4 linked regions of the Yarrowia lipolytica genome follow. The protein of the gene in region 2 purifies or fractionates together with the protein of the main gene of each other region. This does not show direct contact. Links are inferred from orthologs where the notes say so. Each region holds a gene or a part of one and is shown on either strand. Other genes may lie near its edges. The genes, in order: YALI1_F17907g, YALI1_C17949g, YALI1_B02091g and YALI1_F21261g.

Evidence for each region.
Region 1: the proteins of YALI1_C17949g (region 2) and YALI1_F17907g purify together in Saccharomyces cerevisiae (affinity purification with mass spectrometry; 4 studies listed by BioGRID, with this or other methods). This does not show direct contact. The link is inferred for Yarrowia lipolytica from reciprocal best matches to the Saccharomyces cerevisiae genes RPB4 and SPT4.
Region 3: the proteins of YALI1_C17949g (region 2) and YALI1_B02091g purify together in Saccharomyces cerevisiae (affinity purification with mass spectrometry; 3 studies listed by BioGRID). This does not show direct contact. The link is inferred for Yarrowia lipolytica from reciprocal best matches to the Saccharomyces cerevisiae genes RPB4 and SPT6.
Region 4: the proteins of YALI1_C17949g (region 2) and YALI1_F21261g purify together in Saccharomyces cerevisiae (affinity purification with mass spectrometry; 4 studies listed by BioGRID, with this or other methods). This does not show direct contact. The link is inferred for Yarrowia lipolytica from reciprocal best matches to the Saccharomyces cerevisiae genes RPB4 and TFG2.

What each region holds. Positions count from the first base shown.
Region 1 is NC_090775.1:1,788,985-1,791,720, reverse strand, and holds YALI1_F17907g (uncharacterized protein), read right to left. Parts: upstream 1,002-2,736; coding exon 945-1,001; intron 900-944; coding exon 812-899; intron 749-811; coding exon 561-748; downstream 1-560. Other genes in the region: YALI1_F17912g (uncharacterized protein), read right to left, coding at 1-474; YALI1_F17836g (uncharacterized protein), read right to left, coding at 1,644-2,736.
Region 2 is NC_090772.1:1,792,918-1,795,996, reverse strand, and holds YALI1_C17949g (uncharacterized protein), read right to left. Parts: upstream 1,063-3,079; coding exon 526-1,062; downstream 1-525. Other genes in the region: YALI1_C17947g (uncharacterized protein), read left to right, coding at 1,287-1,856; YALI1_C17932g (uncharacterized protein), read left to right, coding at 2,714-3,079. UniProt on the Saccharomyces cerevisiae protein: DNA-dependent RNA polymerase catalyzes the transcription of DNA into RNA using the four ribonucleoside triphosphates as substrates. Component of RNA polymerase II which synthesizes mRNA precursors and many functional non-coding RNAs.
Region 3 is NC_090771.1:207,580-214,460, reverse strand, and holds YALI1_B02091g (uncharacterized protein), read right to left. Parts: upstream 5,302-6,881; coding exon 5,122-5,301; intron 4,596-5,121; coding exon 555-4,595; downstream 1-554. Other genes in the region: YALI1_B02149g (uncharacterized protein), read left to right, coding at 1-119; YALI1_B02082g (uncharacterized protein), read left to right, coding at 6,060-6,169, 6,216-6,411; YALI1_B02073g (uncharacterized protein), read left to right, coding at 6,868-6,881. UniProt on the Saccharomyces cerevisiae protein: Histone H3-H4 chaperone that plays a role in maintenance of chromatin structure during RNA polymerase II transcription elongation thereby repressing transcription initiation from cryptic promoters.
Region 4 is NC_090775.1:2,124,446-2,128,068, forward strand, and holds YALI1_F21261g (uncharacterized protein), read right to left. Parts: upstream 1,658-3,623; coding exon 557-1,657; downstream 1-556. Other genes in the region: YALI1_F21224g (uncharacterized protein), read left to right, coding at 1-427; YALI1_F21279g (uncharacterized protein), read left to right, coding at 3,461-3,623. UniProt on the Saccharomyces cerevisiae protein: TFIIF is a general transcription initiation factor that binds to RNA polymerase II.

The sequences.
Region 1 (2,736 bases), on a different chromosome or scaffold from region 2:
ACCCCATGCCACAATGGCATTCAGGAACTTTTCATAGGCCTTCAACGTGTACGTGATTTTCACACCTGGACAAACGTGCGCAAACGCCTCGTCGCTGAAAAACGGCACATTGACGCTCATGACAGACCCCAACAGAGACGCCGTAGCCGGACCCACGCCTTTCAGCTCACTCAAGACCTTGATTGCTTCGATGATCTCGTCACCTGCAATCAGATGAGCCGCTTTTTGTGTTACTTGCTCCACCTCCTCGGCCCTGTTCGATTCCGCGAGCTGTTGCAGTTTTGGACGGAACGTGCCGCGTTTCAGCTTCCAGGTCATGAGTTTGGCGAGTTCACCGTGGGTCAGAGCACGGGGGTTTTCTCGTACGTCATCAGACAGCTGCTTACGCCACTCGTCCAGCTCGGCCAGCGTCTCCTTGCCTCCCTTCTTGGCCGACTTTGACGCCTTCAGCTGGAGCAACTCGTGGTAGTCCATGTGTAGAGTTTGGACCCCTCTTCACCATGTGCGTGCGCTTGAAGAATACATTGGCTTAGTAATATACATCCATTTATAAATACATGCTAATCCTGGGCAGAGCCGTCTCGAGGTCGGTAAACCACACCCTTGCTCTTCAGATCATCCACAATGTCCTGCGGCAACTTTCCATTCACCTTGACGGCATACAGACCGGGCTGGAAGCCGTCGATTCGCAGCCACTTGGACACCCACGATGAGCTGGGGTCACAGAGCGCCACCTGGCCTTCGAATGCTGGGGGTTAGTCAAAGCTTCAAACAAAAAGATCCATCAATTGTCGTCCCTCTTCATACTCACATGGACTGGTGCAGTCCTGTGTCAGACTATCGTCGGCCTTCATGTCGAGCACCGAATCGCAGTTAGGACATCCCTTGGAAATGAAAGCCTGGGTTAGTAGGTGAAACAATAGATCAGGTCACGTGATACTCACCTTGAGCGGCTGGACGATTCCACAGAGCATACATGCTCGCTCAGTTCGAGTAGACATGGTCGTTGGCGTGTTGGAAAAGTGCTGGCCCAGAGTTTGTCATGCGTCTCACAGATTATGACATGGTAGTGTGAAATGAACTTAAAATTTGTGAGTGGATGGAGTGAGATTGAAACGGTGCCAGGTACTGTACCTGTACAAATATGAAAATATATAATAAAAATTAAACCAGACTTGAGTTATTGCTCTCTTTTTTTGGTTATTTTATCGATTTAGGCATATTTTTTTGAGCTGTTACAGCCCCGTTTGTACATCTAAAGTCGCCTCCTAATAGACACAGTATATACAGTTCTTGGGAGTATCATCTTCGCACCCTTCCAACTAAAAGTCCGAGTAAAAATGGAAGTTAGATATTTACTAAAAATCTCATAATTCATATAAAATAACTATCAAAAGGGTATTTTATCTAGCCTCATAGATTTATTCCATCCCGCAAAAGTACTTGTTCTGACTTGTATATTGGTCACTTTCTACAAAATGTGGAACACGGCATTCAATCCCCCAGTCCATTTTTTTTTAAGTCAACTAAAGTCTAACAAGAGATTATTTATACGCAATTCTACCAAGTCTACATTCTGCAACCGCTCCGCTTCGGCTGCTTGTCATGGGTATAATGTATTTAAATATAAATGAAATGAACGATTAAACAAAGGAGGGCTCAAAGTTGGAGTTGTTGTTGACGTACGCCTCCAGCCGTGACTTCCAGTTCTCCAAATCCTTCTCCAGCCGTAGAGACTTTTCTCGCAGCTCTCTAGACTCTCGCTCTGCCCGTCGAGCCACCACCTGGTACTGCGACTCGCTTCCCTGTGCCTTCTCAACTGCTTCCACCAGTCGGTTCACCTTGGCCTCCGACTTGGCAGACTCCTCCTGCAGTCGCTTTACCAGCTGGTCACGCTGATCAAGCTGATCCCGGAGCTCACGTGCCTGACGGTCACCTCCTCGAGACGACTTGAGGTCAGCAAGCATATCCGACTGCTGCTGCTGGAGCTCTTTCTCGAGCTGAGACACCCGCTTTCTGAGGGCCTCGGTATCCCCTCCTCCAGAAGACAAAAGTCTTGACTCGAGATCGAGAATCTTGAGGTTGAGCTCCTTGGTCTGCTGCTCTGACTCTCGCTTCTGAGTCTGCATCACCCTGCGCTCACGCTCCAGAGCGGCCAGAGCGTCGGCAGCAGACTTCTCAGCAGTTCGAAGCTGCGTGGAAGACACCTGAGAGGAGGTTCGAGAGAGAGGCGTCTCACCGTGGCTCTTTAGAAGACTCTCGAGATCAACTGCCATGGTAGACACACGGCTTTCAAGAGCTCGTTTGTCCTTGAGCAGCTGGTCTCTGTCAGTGGCAATCTCGTCCATGGTGGTTCGCAGATTCTGAACCTGAGACAGCAGCGAAGCAACCCGCTTCTGGGCCTCGGAGTTGGCCTTTTCGTCAGCCTGGGCCTGCTGCTGAAGGTCGTGCACCTGTGCAGCCAGCCGGTCGTGCTCGTCGCGCCATTGCTTGGCCTCGGACTGCTCAAGCTCCCGCTGACGCTTCATAGCATCAGTCTGCTGCTGCAGCATCATGTTTTGCTGTCTTAGGGAAGACACGTTCTTGGTCTCGGCTGCCAGAGTCTTGGTCAGCTCAGCCAGCTCGCTCTTAGAACCCTCAAGACCCCGACCCTGTTCGGTCTCCAATCGTTTATGGGACCGCCGAAGAGTCGCCACCTCCATCTCCTTGTCCTCCAGCTGGTTCTCCAGACCCCGA
Region 2 (3,079 bases):
TGTAAATCGTTTATTTTTATTATTATAATTTTTGCTGACTAAGTAAATCCTGGATATGGATAAACACGACTTTTTTAAAAGAAAAATCGCCTGGCTAGCTCAATCGGTAGAGCGTGAGACTCTTACTCTAAGGTCATCTCAAGGCTGTGGGTTCAAGCCCCACGTCGGGCTGATCTTTTTTTGCCTTTTTTGGCCATTTTTTTTGCTTACTAAGATTCAGAATATATATACCGCGATGGAGCCAACCGAGAGCATCCTGACGACAATGAAAAATACCTGATATGTTCATGAATGGAGGGACTGTGTGTGTTTGGGCATGTGTTCTCGTGGGTACAAGTGTATGTATCGACAGTAAGTACAGTACCGTTTAAACGGCAGTGTGAACTCGGTAATTCCGTAGTCATGTTGTGTCATATCTCTTTGAGTACATCAGCTACTCGTACCACATTAGCCTGTGGTCCACATACCCGCTGTTATACAATATATATTACCCACCTTGTAGCACCATTTATAATACAGCACCGTTTAGTTTTCTCGGTCATGTTCTCTGACCAGATCCAGCAGCTCCTGGAGCTGGGCGTCGGTTCGCTTGGCAGCCAGAGAGGGAATCAGAGTTTTGGCCTCCTCGGCTCCATCACACGACAGAGTTCCGAGCTGGGCGATTTCAAACGGATGCAGATCGGCGTTGTCTTGGTGACGCAGAATCTGGGCCACCGCAGCCACCTTTTGCTGTTCTCGGAACCGCGAGAAGATGTTCATGTACTCCCGGGTCTTTCGCAGCACGTCATTGGCGTTGATCTCCTCCTCGTCGTCCAGGGTATCGTCTTCCGTGTTCTCAATACCCAATGCGTCATTCTTTCGCTTCTTGAGCGTATGGTTAATGAGAGATCGGGCCTCTGAGGTCGACAGAGCTGTGAGGGCGGTCTCAAACCCGTCGTGGGTGTATTGGGTCACGTCGAACTCGGGTCCGAGTTTCAGCTGGGCTGCATCCTCGTCCTGCACCGCGTTGACGGTCGTGGGCTTTCGTCGCTGCTGCTGAACAGTACTTGTAGACACGTTCATTGTTGTGTGTGTGTGTGTCTTGTGTGGTTTTGTGGGTTGATGATCACAGACAGTGGTGTTTCCACCAGTGCATATTGGACTGAAGATTAAAATCCACTCGGTTCGAATCCCCGCTGGGTAGGCTAATTTACGCCATTTGGGTCACGCGTTAAGTCTAAATTATACGCGTCAGATCAACTGGTACACTGGCAGGGCACAAGAAACAGCACCAAACACTGACAAAAATGCCTCCTTCAACTACGCTCATTCTGGCAGCCACAGTGCCCCGATATGGCATCGGACTCAATGGAGGACTTCCATGGAGACTAGCCAAAGAAATGAAGTTCTTCAAACAGGTGACTACAGCCCAGAAGAACGCCGTCGTCATCATGGGACGAACCACCTGGGACTCCATTCCCCCCAAGTTCAGACCTCTTCCTGATCGAACCAACATTGTTCTCACTTCTAGACCCATGACTGACGCTCCCGAGGAGGTTGTAGTCGCCCGGTCGTTCGACGAAGCGCTTACAAAGTGCCCCGAGGATTCTACCGTTTACGTCATCGGCGGATCTCAGGTTTACAAGACCGCGCTGGTCCACGAACATACAAAGGCCGTGCTTTTGACAGAAATTACCTGTCCCGACGGCCACGTGGAATGTGACACCTTCTTCGAGGGCTTTGACCAGGGTCTGTGGAAGAAGCAGCCTTATGAACGTCTCCAAGACTTTGTGGGAGACAAGGTGGAGCTTCCTGGACGAGATACTCCTGTGGAAGAGAAGGGCTTTTCTTTCGTTTACACCTTGTGGGAGAAATAAGCGGATTCAAGCTGGATCCTGTTGGAATGCCGCTGCCTGTGGTCGTTGTACTGGCTATGCGACTGGCCTGAACTCGGATATCTCCTGTTGGCTGGTATCTCAATTGTTGGCTGGTATCTCAATTGTTGGCTGGTATCTCAATTGATGACTGATATCTACCGAAACTGAACCCTAGGGAGTCGGCCTTATGATCATGGCTACGGAGTATCTCAGCCTGTGTCTGACCCTGTCTCAACACCTTGGCTTACGAGCACCAAAATTGTAATGTAACATGTTTTAAATGACTGGTTGAAGATCCGTCAGACCAACCATCATTGGACTGACGCCCAAAGGCTATCCAGGGCATATTTATCTACTTGTAGCTACAATACCACTGTTGTCAAGTTGAAATTTACCTGCATGTCCAATGACGATGAAGTTTGTTTAAATTTTTTTATTAGAGTTTTCAAAAAAAAAAGGGAGAAAAAAAGGAAATTTTTTATATTTTTCTGTCGATTTTCGGGGTGTTTTAGAAATATTCGAAATTCATCCATGAAATAAGTAATGAATTCTATATATACATACATTTAATGCCATCAAAGAGAGAACCGGGAGTGTGTCTGTTATCTTGGAACTGTTATTCTGCTACTACAGGTACGAGTATGACGAGTACAGCCCTGTATTTTTTTTTTCATAAATATGATTTAAAACCGAATTAAATCGAATTAAAAACTACAAATAAATCCAGAGGAGCCAGAAACGGGCTCGCCCCGAAGCTCTTGCTTCTGTAATGCTGGCTTTGCTGTCGGATTTATGGTTATCCAGAACAGCTTGTTGTACTTGTAGTTCGCATTTCTCAGCGAAAAATATTCTACTGCATGAAAGGTAATTTTTTGCAAGTGATCAAACGTCTGATTCCGTTGAAAGGCCGATTTTTCCCCGTCACCATGAGCGAACCTACCACCACCCCCGTCGTCGGCAACAGTGCGTCCGGCGACTCGGCTGAGCAGCACGATCTCGGCCAGAAGCGAGGCAAGGGAGGCAACTGGAACCGACCTCGAGGCGATCACCAGGCCAAGAAGCAGAAGATGGACCGACGAGGCGACCGACAACGAGAGCAGGAGAAGCAGGGCGAGGGCCGAGATACACGTCGAAAGACGGACGGTCCTCTGGTGGCCGACGAGGTGCGACAGCCCAAGCGAAAGGTTGCCTGTATGATTGGATATTGTGGAACTGGTTACCAT
Region 3 (6,881 bases), on a different chromosome or scaffold from region 2:
AGCGATTTGCCGACGATGTCGACAGTTACTACGACGTGAAGGATCCCGTGTTTGATTTGATCATGGAGGGGGCCAAGGAGTGGGAACTGCGACAGAAACAAACTGGAACCTCGACGTAGGAGAGGTTTCGTTTGTTACTAGATTATCTGACTTTGACATGTTCGGCAAAAGTGTCGCAATCGCTTATCATATTCGCCTGTTGCACCCGACAAGCGATCTGCCATCACCAATCTTACTCGGGCTTTAGTCCTGTTTGGACACCAGAGCTAATATCAACTTCAAGCACGCAGTGGAGTTTCCGAGATATAACGGACGACGTTCGCTCGAAAGATAGGACGAAGCGACCAGCTACAGAGGTCCGATGATTCAGCTGCAGGGCGATATAGGATGAAGAGATACTGTAGACGTCTCTGTAGTACAGTACTAGAATGTGAAAGTGTGCGCGTACACGAACGAAACACTTGGAGGAATGGATAGCCCAAGACACATCCAACAGCGTCGTTACGACTCGCTCTCGGATTACTTTCATTACAACAATCAATTAATATACACAACTATCTTCTCTGAGTCTTGCTCTTGAACAAGGTCTTGAACCCGTTGCACAGCTTCATGACATCAGGGTACTTTTCTCCACCCAACTGGTAGCCTCCAGGAATCACCTTGACGGGCCAGTCAAGCATGGGACTCTTCTGGTCCGTCTTAACCAGCAAATGGAAGTAGCCAGCCTTTTTGGACGACAGCACAAACCGGTACACGGCTCGTTTCGAACCACCTCGTAGATACGAGTCCATACTCTGCTCCGTCTCGGCAATGGAGTCGGCCGAGTACTTGTCCGAATGGCACAGCTCGTCTACCTTTCGAGCCATGGACTTGACATGCATGGCGATGAGCTCATCGAGATCGGAGTACTTGGAGGTGCCGACCATGAGAGTCTTTCCAAGCGCATACTCGTTTTCCTTGCCGAGCTCCACGACGTCAATGTGCTGGTAAATGCCATCACCGACCTTCCACGTGACGGCAATGTGATCTGTGCCACGTGACGAGGGTCTGATGACAAGCTCTCCACGGGGAAGTGTAGAGAGGAACTTTTCGGCATCGGAGCCAGAGAAGAGCTTGAACAGAGGATGCTTGATGACTCGAGTCTTTCGCTGCTCCACCTCACGACGCACCTCCTGGGCGGACTTGTCGGCGGCCTCCGCTTCAAAGTCCCATTGATCTCGCGGTCTCTTCACCTGACGGGCTCGTTTTTGCGCGTCAGAAATGTCTCGGTGGAGACACGACAACTCTGCGGAGAAATTCGAGTATGACACCTCCATGACGACCGCTCGAATCGTCTGTTGATGGTGAAACAGCGCCGACGGATGCACTCCTCGCTGGTCGGTGATCCGGTCCTGGGTCACGTTGCCCTGAATTCCGCACGAAAGACGCACCGCAAGGTATCTGTCGGAGATTCTTCTAATCTGCACCGCCACGACGGAACCGGGATGCAGCGATTTTTCCGTCTCTCCGGTGAGCATAGTGAAGACCTCAAGGTCGGTCAGCACGTGTAACGGCTCCCGCAGCTCCTCGTAGTGGTTGATGAGCTCTCTTCGGATCATCTCCAGAGTGTACCGCTTCTTCTTGCCGAGTTTCTGCTCGAGTTCCTCGGCGTAGCCCTCCAGAATGAGCTCGTTGAGCTTCTCGGCGCCCTCCTTCATCAGTTGAGCAATAACTCCTCCCTCGGACTCAAACTCCAGAAGATCTTCCTCGTCGAGCTCAAGGGCATCAGCAGCCATCTTTTTCGCCAGTTCGTAATCCTCAATATGGATTCGAGTGGCGTCCAGAAGTTCCGTCTCCTCGTGACGAACCGATCGCTTGTCGTAAGGAAGACGCAGGAACGAAGCCACGTTCATAAAGACATTCTTTCCACACAGCTTCTCGGTGATGAGATCCAGACGAGTGCCGAGATAGCCACGAGACTGGATTTTGTGAGTCAGACCAGACGCCTTTCGGGGGCCCAAACCAGCAATGTAGGGCAGCATTCGAGCCACGTAAGCGTCTCTAATGGCCTCATTGATGTCGACTCCCACGAGATTGACGTAATCGACAAAAGTCGAGTCCACGGCCTCGTAGAAGCGGTCCTCAGAAATCAACGACTGGAAATCCACCATGGGAATCGCCTTGATTTCCTTGCCCAGCGAAAGATACTCCAGCAGGGGGCTCTGAACATACCGCGCAAGAGCCACACAGTACCGTTCCAGAGGAGGCGAGTCTGCAAACTCCACCAGGGCACCGGCGGAGTTTCTGAACAGGCAGGCAACCTCATCCTGCACCCATCGCACCTCCAGAGGCTCTCCCTCGGCCTCCAGACCCTGCGTTCGAACAACCTCTTCAATCACGCTCTTGAGTCTGTGGGATTGGACTGTCTGGCCCGAGAAGGCGATAAGATCGGGAGTTCGACGCTTGACCATCTCGGACAGCGCGTTGGTGAACTCCTGGGTTTGTGGAGCTCCGAGCTTGGCCCGTTCAGCCACTCGGCCTTCCTCATCGACAAAAACGCCAACCACGGCGTCTCGTCGAAAATCAGCCTGGCCGGCAGAAAGCGCCAACACTCTTGGAACTGTGCCCTTTTCGTAGTTTCGCGGCTTGAAAGGAGCCTGGTTCAACTTTCTGCCAAACATGCGACGCAGCTCAAAGAAGAGTTGCCGCTCACAGTCGTTCCTCAACTCCTCCTTGATAGATCGAGTGACCATGGGAACGAGAGTCTTCATTGCAATTCGAACCACCGCCCGTCGCTGGGTGTTCCATTGACTGGCAATGTCAGACACGCCATCGCTCTGCAGCTTACTCAGCAGAAGATCGATGAACTTGGTTTTGAAATCAGGGTACGACACTCGGACATTCACCAGGCCCTTAGCCTCGGCCTGCAGCATCTGAAGGTACAGTTTGGGCGATTTTCTGAGCTCCTCAAATGACAGATTTCGCGAGTACTTGAACTCGTAAGCTGGGTGTGCTTCGTCAATCTGACTGGAACCCGCCTCGGTTGCATACACGTCAATCTTGGCGAGCTGCGCAAACTGCTGACGCACATACCGCCGCACCCGCGGGTCAAATGCCAGCTCCATGGCAAACATCTGAGTCGCGCTCTCGAGCGCCGATGCGGCGTCACTCAGGACCAGGCTGGAATCGTTCAAATAGTCGGTGGCAAGGTCAGCTGGAGCTCGCGCGTTATCCTCTGTGTAGTTGATACGCGTGGAGGTTTCCAGGTTCTCTGCAAACTCGTCGGAGGAGATACCAAACTGTCTGACCAGACCATACAGCTTGCTGGCTCGAATTCGGTCGTATCTGGCGTACCGAGAATGTCGCTTCGACGACCCGGACTGCAAATCGCCGAGCTCGCCGGAAAACCGAAATTGCACATACTCAATGGCGTCTTGAGTGTCCTGCAACGAGGCAGAGTTGGCGAAATCGTTGATGAATGAATGGTTTCCAGTCTTGGACACTCCCGCTTGGGTTCGCAACCGCTCCAGCTGCTGCTGTTTCTCCACAATGCCGTGGTAATCGAGATCAAGCTGCACAATCATCCACAGGTCGTCCAGAGACAGCAACTCGACGGTTGTGTACTCAATCTCCTTGGTTTCTTCGGTGGTGGATGCCACAGGTGCCTCCAACGTCGGCTCATACTCGTCATCCTCAACCTTGGCCTTGAACTTTTCATGTTTCGAAACATGGGTAAGAAAGTCTCGACGATGATGCCAGATGAACGGAACCTCGAGATTCTCCTTGGCAATGAACTCCAGTACCTTGGAGACCGCAGTCTCGTACTCGGAATCGAGGTGGGGCGGAACATGCTCCTGTTTCATGGTCTTCAAACGGCTAGCCACCCACTCGCACTCCTTGGAAAAGTCCTCGTCCGACAGATCGTACTTGTCGATCGACTGACGCAGAAGCTGGTACCGCTCGGGCTCGTCACGTGCCCGGATGTCATTATCCTCGTCGGTCAGGAGTCGTTCTCTCAGCTCAGACGGCTCGAACACGTCTCTGAGCTCTGGACCAGCACGTCCCTCGTCCTCGTACTCCTCCTGGGCACGCTCGCGGTCCTCCTCCGCGTCCAGGGCCCATGCGTACTCCTCTCCGTCGCCAAACACTTCGTAGATCTCGTTGAGCTTGTCATCATCGATGCCCACGTCCTTGGAAAGGAACGCGGCCGGAGCGCCAGTGGCACGTGACTCTCGCTGCGACTCACGTCCCCGTGTTGGTGCGTCATCCTCACTGAACTCGTCGTCTTCAATGAAGTCGTCGAACTCGTTGCGCTGTTCGACCGGCGCGGGCTGTTCTTCCTCGTCGGAGAACATGTCGGCGAGTCCCTTCTGGCGGTCGGAGGAGTCGTCATCGCCTGCTCGCTTGAGACGCTTAAAGTGCCGTTCTCGGGGCGCGCCCGTGTTCTCCATGAGGAGGTCCAAATCATCTTCGTCGAGATGGTCGTTCTCGGCGGGCGTGGGGGGTTTGTCGTCGGTGTCTTCGGGGATCACTCGTCGTCGTTTCTTGAGTTTTCGTCTCGGTTTGTCCACTTCTTCTTCCTCTTCGTCGTCGTCCACAATGAAGCCTTGTCGGACCTGGGTTAGTATTATGTTGGAGCAGCTCCAGTAGTGCGCAGTGTCAGGTTAGACAGTCGAGTGCCGAGACTGGATAGAACGGCGAGTATCTCGTCGTCAGCGGGATCTGGCACTGCCAGTAATTCTAAGACGACGATTGACTGAGTCTTGGATCTGTTTACTGTGCTAGGATTGTTCCTGATGGCAACCGCGATTGTTCAGATGAAAACTGTGATTTCTCAGATGAAAACTGTGGTTGGTGATCCGCTGAACTGAACCAACCAGACAGAACATTGCCAGCATCAAATGAGACCCGCGACTCTATGGAGATGAGACCCGCGGCACTACGGAGATGAGCGAAACGAATCTCCAGTCTTTTAATGGAATCGAGATTCGCTTAGTTCATCTCAAATCCACTCGAGATTCGATTCCTCGTCTCTCCAAATCGAGATTCGATTCCTCATCTCTCCAAATCCACTCGAGATTCGCTTCGCTCATCTCGTCATCTCGTCATCTCGTCATCTCGTCATATCGACACTTCACTCACCCTAGCAATCTCCTCCTCATCATCATCATCCTCCTCCTCACTACTATCATCCATCTCTTCATTGTCATTGTCGTTGTCTTCGCCGTTTTCGTGACGATCGTCATCACGGACGTCGATTTCGTCCTCGTCCATCTTGACCTTGACCGAATCAACGTCGCTGGCACTAGCGGGGGACGACATGGTGGGTTGGTGTTGACGTGTTGTGGTGGTGCTGACAACAATATGTTTTTCAGGGTTAGGTCACGTGGAACAGAGGTGGGAATAACGAGCAAAAAAAATAAAAAAAAATTCGTCTGAATAAAAACAATAAAAATAAAAACCCAAAAGAAAACACCACAAAACCATGGTCGATCAAGACGACGGAAAAATAAACAGAAAAAACTATACAGAAAACCAGGAAAATCACGTGATCACAGAAACACACGCCTCCTAATTCTGTCTATTTTCCCCATTTTTATTTACTGGATAGACTCTCCGAGTCGGAGGAAGTTTAAAATTTCCAGTGGGAGTTTTGAACCGAGTTTTCAAATAGAATTAAATAGAATTAAATAGAATTAAATTAAATTAAATTAAATAAATTAAATAAAATTAAATAAAATAAAATAAAATAAATAAATAAATAAAATAAAAAAATAAATTCGTTTTAGAAAACTGGCGAAAAATATAAAAAAATAAAAAAAAAAACAAAGAAAACAACACTTCCAGGTCAGAGACTTGTACGAGTCCATACCGTGTGGAATAATTTGGTTCAAACTACAACTACGATGAAATGAGATAGCCGGTGAAAAAGCGAAGTTCTACCCTGATTTTTTAATCAATTCTAATGACCCTGAGTACGATCCACACCACGACAGTGTCTCAACCTCCAAACGACACTCACACAAGCAGACGAGGCGATTATTGAGCTGGCGAGCTTCTAATCGGATTTGTCTCCATCAATGTACAGCTTCTTCAAGTTTCAGTCCCTCATAGAGCCAGGGCTCGTCAGAAAAGGCACCTGGAGAGAACATCATATACTCCCCAGAGTATCTTCCCCGACTGAGGGATGGTTGACAGTCGTTTGACCTGAGAATCTCTCTACGGAGCCCATCCAGTCGGACTCCAGAAAGCTGTTTGTCTCCGGGCCGAATGCGACAACCCCGGGGCTTAAGAGTTTGTGAGCCGGTATGCCTTCAAGGCCTCAAAAAACAAAACGAATGCGCTCCAGGCATGACCGCTTCATCTACAAGCTCCATGTCGGGTTTTTGGACTCAGTTCAAGGTCTCTTTTGGGGCCTCTTTCTTTGAATAGGCACTCAATGAAACCTTTCGTGATCCTCCTACACCAAAGGATGAGGACCCCACAGAACTCCTCAAAGTGTCTCAATCCGACCAGAGCTGTTATCCCGCGTGTCGAGTCTCCCCAGCAACTAGTCTCGCTATCTGATGTTATTCTTGAACGCACACTATTGGCATCTTTGCCAATTCACCGCCATCCCTGAGTGCTACTGTACAGTACCCGGGTATTCATTTCAACTCCAAGGACAACGTGGAAAAGAACTACGTGAGAATATTATCGAAAGCTGAAAGCTCTTCGTCAGTATGCTCTCTTTGGCCTCAAACGCCACCCCACGGCCTGGATGCTGAACATGTCCTTGTCCAGGACAGTTGGCGTGACCAGTTTATGAAGAACGACTCACGTTGGATCACGTTGGATCACGTTGGATCACGTTGGATCACGTTGAAATGACGTTGGAATCACGTTGGAATGACGTTGGAATC
Region 4 (3,623 bases), on a different chromosome or scaffold from region 2:
AAAATCACCTCAGAGAAGTCCTGCCAAGTCTTTGAAGACTACTAATTCTCCCATGGTGACCATAAAGTCCCCTGTGAAGGAGTTTGCGGTTCCTAATCAGTACATTGCTCCCGGATCGGTTTCTTCTACAGTTACAATGTCTCAGAGCCCCAAGAGAAGCCCGAAAAAGTACGGACAATTGGACAGATTCCACATTGGATGTCCGGAGGCTGAGATACGTTCAGTCTCTGGCAGCTCCACTACGTCGACCACTTCTTCTGTGTCCGTTTTCTCGGATTCTTGTGATCTGCCGTCGTCAGATGAAGAAGATCCAGAGTACGCTGCTTTGATGATGCAACAACGACGTCAGATTTCAAGAGGCCTACCGAAGAAGAGATCTGACCAGCCTCGTCTATCTGTTTTCAACTGGGATAAGGATGTCTTCTAATCGTCACGATGTTTTCAACTTCAACTTCATACCCCATTAACCAAGAACTGACCTATTTATTCACTCATTTATATAGTCAATGATATTTATATTTATTCACCTAACCCATGTGCAAACCACTTGTCAAATCTACAACACAGTCTCCATCTCAACATCATCGTCATCATCGTCTGCACCATCGTCTTCCTCCTGGGCACCTGCAGAATTGGACAGCTGCTTGTACTCCTGTTGCAGGGAGTATTTCATGGCATAAGGACCAGACTTGTTGAGAACAGCCATGCTATCGAGTACCTCTCGAAGGTACACTTCAGGCTGCTTGGTTCGTTCCTTAAGACCCTTGAGCGACCAGTAGGGGTACTCTTCGAACAGCTTGAAGAGGATATCCAGAAGCGCAGATCGCTCGATCCGAACGGCCTTTCCGTCCAGCTTGATATCCTTCTTCTGGGCCTTCATGAAGTGCGACTGAGAGCCAGTGCCACGCAGGTTGGGGGCATTGGAAGAAGCCACCACGCCGGGGAGGTCGTTGAGCAGAGTGACTCGGGCAGCAGGAGGCTGTTGCAGTCGCTCCTTTCGCTTCTGAATGACCTTTTTGTAATTTGCGTCCTTGAGTGACGGCACAACTGTGCATTCGTGGATTACTCGGCCGGCCAGCGCCGTTTTCTTGGGGATTGTTCGTGCAAATGGAAATGCTGATGGCTTTGAGACCTTTCCTGCTGACGATGACGCTGCCGACGACGACGAGCCGGCTCCACTACTGCCGGCCTCCTCCTTTTCTTTTTCCTTTTCCTTCTTCTGCTCCTTCTCCGTGAACACAAACGTGTTGTTGACCACCTCCTTGACGATATCCAACTCATACTCATGTGGAATCTCACTGTTTTCGGGCGTATCACTTAGGCGCAAAGACACCTTTTGTTTCTCGCCGGGAGCTGTGTTTTCCTTGATCAGCACCTGGCCGAGTCGCTTGTTAGTGTGTTCATCCAGATGGCTCCACTTGTCCACCAAAAACTTGGGCAGTCGCACCAACCATACCCGGTTTTCGAGTCCCGCAGTATCCAGGTCGAAAGATCCATCGTCGGCATCAACAGGAGGAGGAGGAATCTTAACATCTTCCTCTTCGGGCTTGACCTCAGATTTCACGTTCATCTTGTCTGTGCGAATGTCGTGAGGAAACGATGATGGAAATGTATCTATCTCGATCAGCGAAACCGCCAAAGTGCTGAGGTTCTGCATATATGAACTTTCTTGGTGAAGTTTAAATATGGTACCGTAGGTAATGTATGGACATGTACCTAATGATGGGTGATTGAAGAGTTGCGGGTATAGTTTTTCCGAGATATTCTTCTCGAATTACTGGTATATATTTGCTAGACTACCTTTTTTCAGTTTTAATGGTCATTGCATGCCCCAATTGTGTGGTCGTGGTGACAGTTTGGGTTGCTCTCGATGGTCAACTATAGAGCTGTCAAACGAGAGGAATAACAGTTGGAAAGTTAGTTGAAGTATGAGATGCTCCAAGTTCGAGTTCTGTTCAAGTCGATTCAAACAAAAGCCCCATCTTGACACCAGTTTGGGTCCTCTTTGTGTGCTATAATACGAGTATTAAAGAGGATATTAATCAGCTTGGCCAGTAACGAAGGTTGAGGAAGGACTTCGGAAGGCTCCAATACCCCATTGTTACTAAGCATTAATGCAAAGCATTATTACTAAGCAAAAAAACTTACATTGTCGCCACCTTAGTAAGCTGCAAAAAACAGAGATTGCAGCACCCAGGATTCTCGTATGGTCTCCCACTACAATACTAACTAGGCTCTCTGGTGCTTGACTATGGCTGATCGGACGGGAAGCCGTATTTTCACCAGGATATGGCCGCAACCGTTAGGACCAAAAACCGTTAGACTGTTTTGAGAAGACAGATTAGTCACGTGATCGCAAAAGTTGGTGTCAATTTTAGACCCTTTGAAGGGGGATTTTTGGTATAAGAAAGGGATATGTATGCTAAGCATGACTCTGCGCATGTCTCTGTGCCACTCGCAATCAATGATATCGACGAAATATGTTGAAATTGAGACATATTATGATGTTTGGGGTGGATTGTCCAAGTTCCCACTGTACGCACGAGTATGTACTGTATTCTGGAATATTAGCAATAGTACACACGCAATTGGGCAGCAGAATGATCACAAATGTGCAATTCAATTGAATTTGACCCCATAACCCTCTCCGTATCTCTCGCGCGCACATCTGCACCGGATCTCCACCTTCATGGTTCCGTTTCTTCCCGCATGTGCTGCTTTGTCGATCAATACAATCAGCCGAGGGTCGGCAATCACATTGGGCGTTCTCATAACTGTTGATCCGCTAGCAATAGAGGTCAGCTCACCTTTTTGCCTTTGATCTAACCCAGAAGTCTCGGGTTCAGGCACCCTGAGACACACAGCTCACCTATACCTGCGCAGCAGAGTTCACCGCCGTTAGACCGAACTGCAATCAAAGTAACTTTCCGAGGAAGAGTTGAGGGGAATATGAGCGGTCTGTCAGTGAGTGTAGAAGAGACGTATGTAAGAATACATGTACACAAGGTCGAGTTCATCGATGTATCTTAGGTAGTGGCCTCGAGAAGAGATTCAGAGCTACAAGATGTTGTTTCTGGACGGCATATTTCGAGTGAAGGTCAGAGTTACTTGCGCTTAAAACTAACTAGTTCTATTGTCCTTGTTGAAAGTTACTTAATATGAACTGAAAAAATCCCATTGGTTGAGTGTGAGGAGAAGTTCGGACTAAAGCAACGAGACGTGGGCAAGAGCGTTACAAGGATAGTATGGAGTCTTCCAAGAGTGTGAAAATTGCATGTTTGTATCGGAAAAAGGTTTTCTGACTAAGCAACTGCCTCGATTTCTCATTTTCAAGGCGACTTGGTGGTGTCGCCTACCTCTCCATATCTGGTCATGGTCGTGCCTCGATAAAGTTGGCAGAGGAAAAAAAGAAGAACGCTGTTTTTAAGGTTGGCACAAAATGTGTTCTGCAGCTGCATAGATGTATGTGCAGCATCGCAAAAAAACGCTACTTCATTCACAACACACAAAAATGGATTTTGCAGCACTGATTCAGGGCGAAATCTCCAAGAAGAAAGCTGGAACGGGAGTGGCAGACTACGGCTGTAAGGCAGCGGCTCCCAAGCCCGCCCAGACGACAGTTT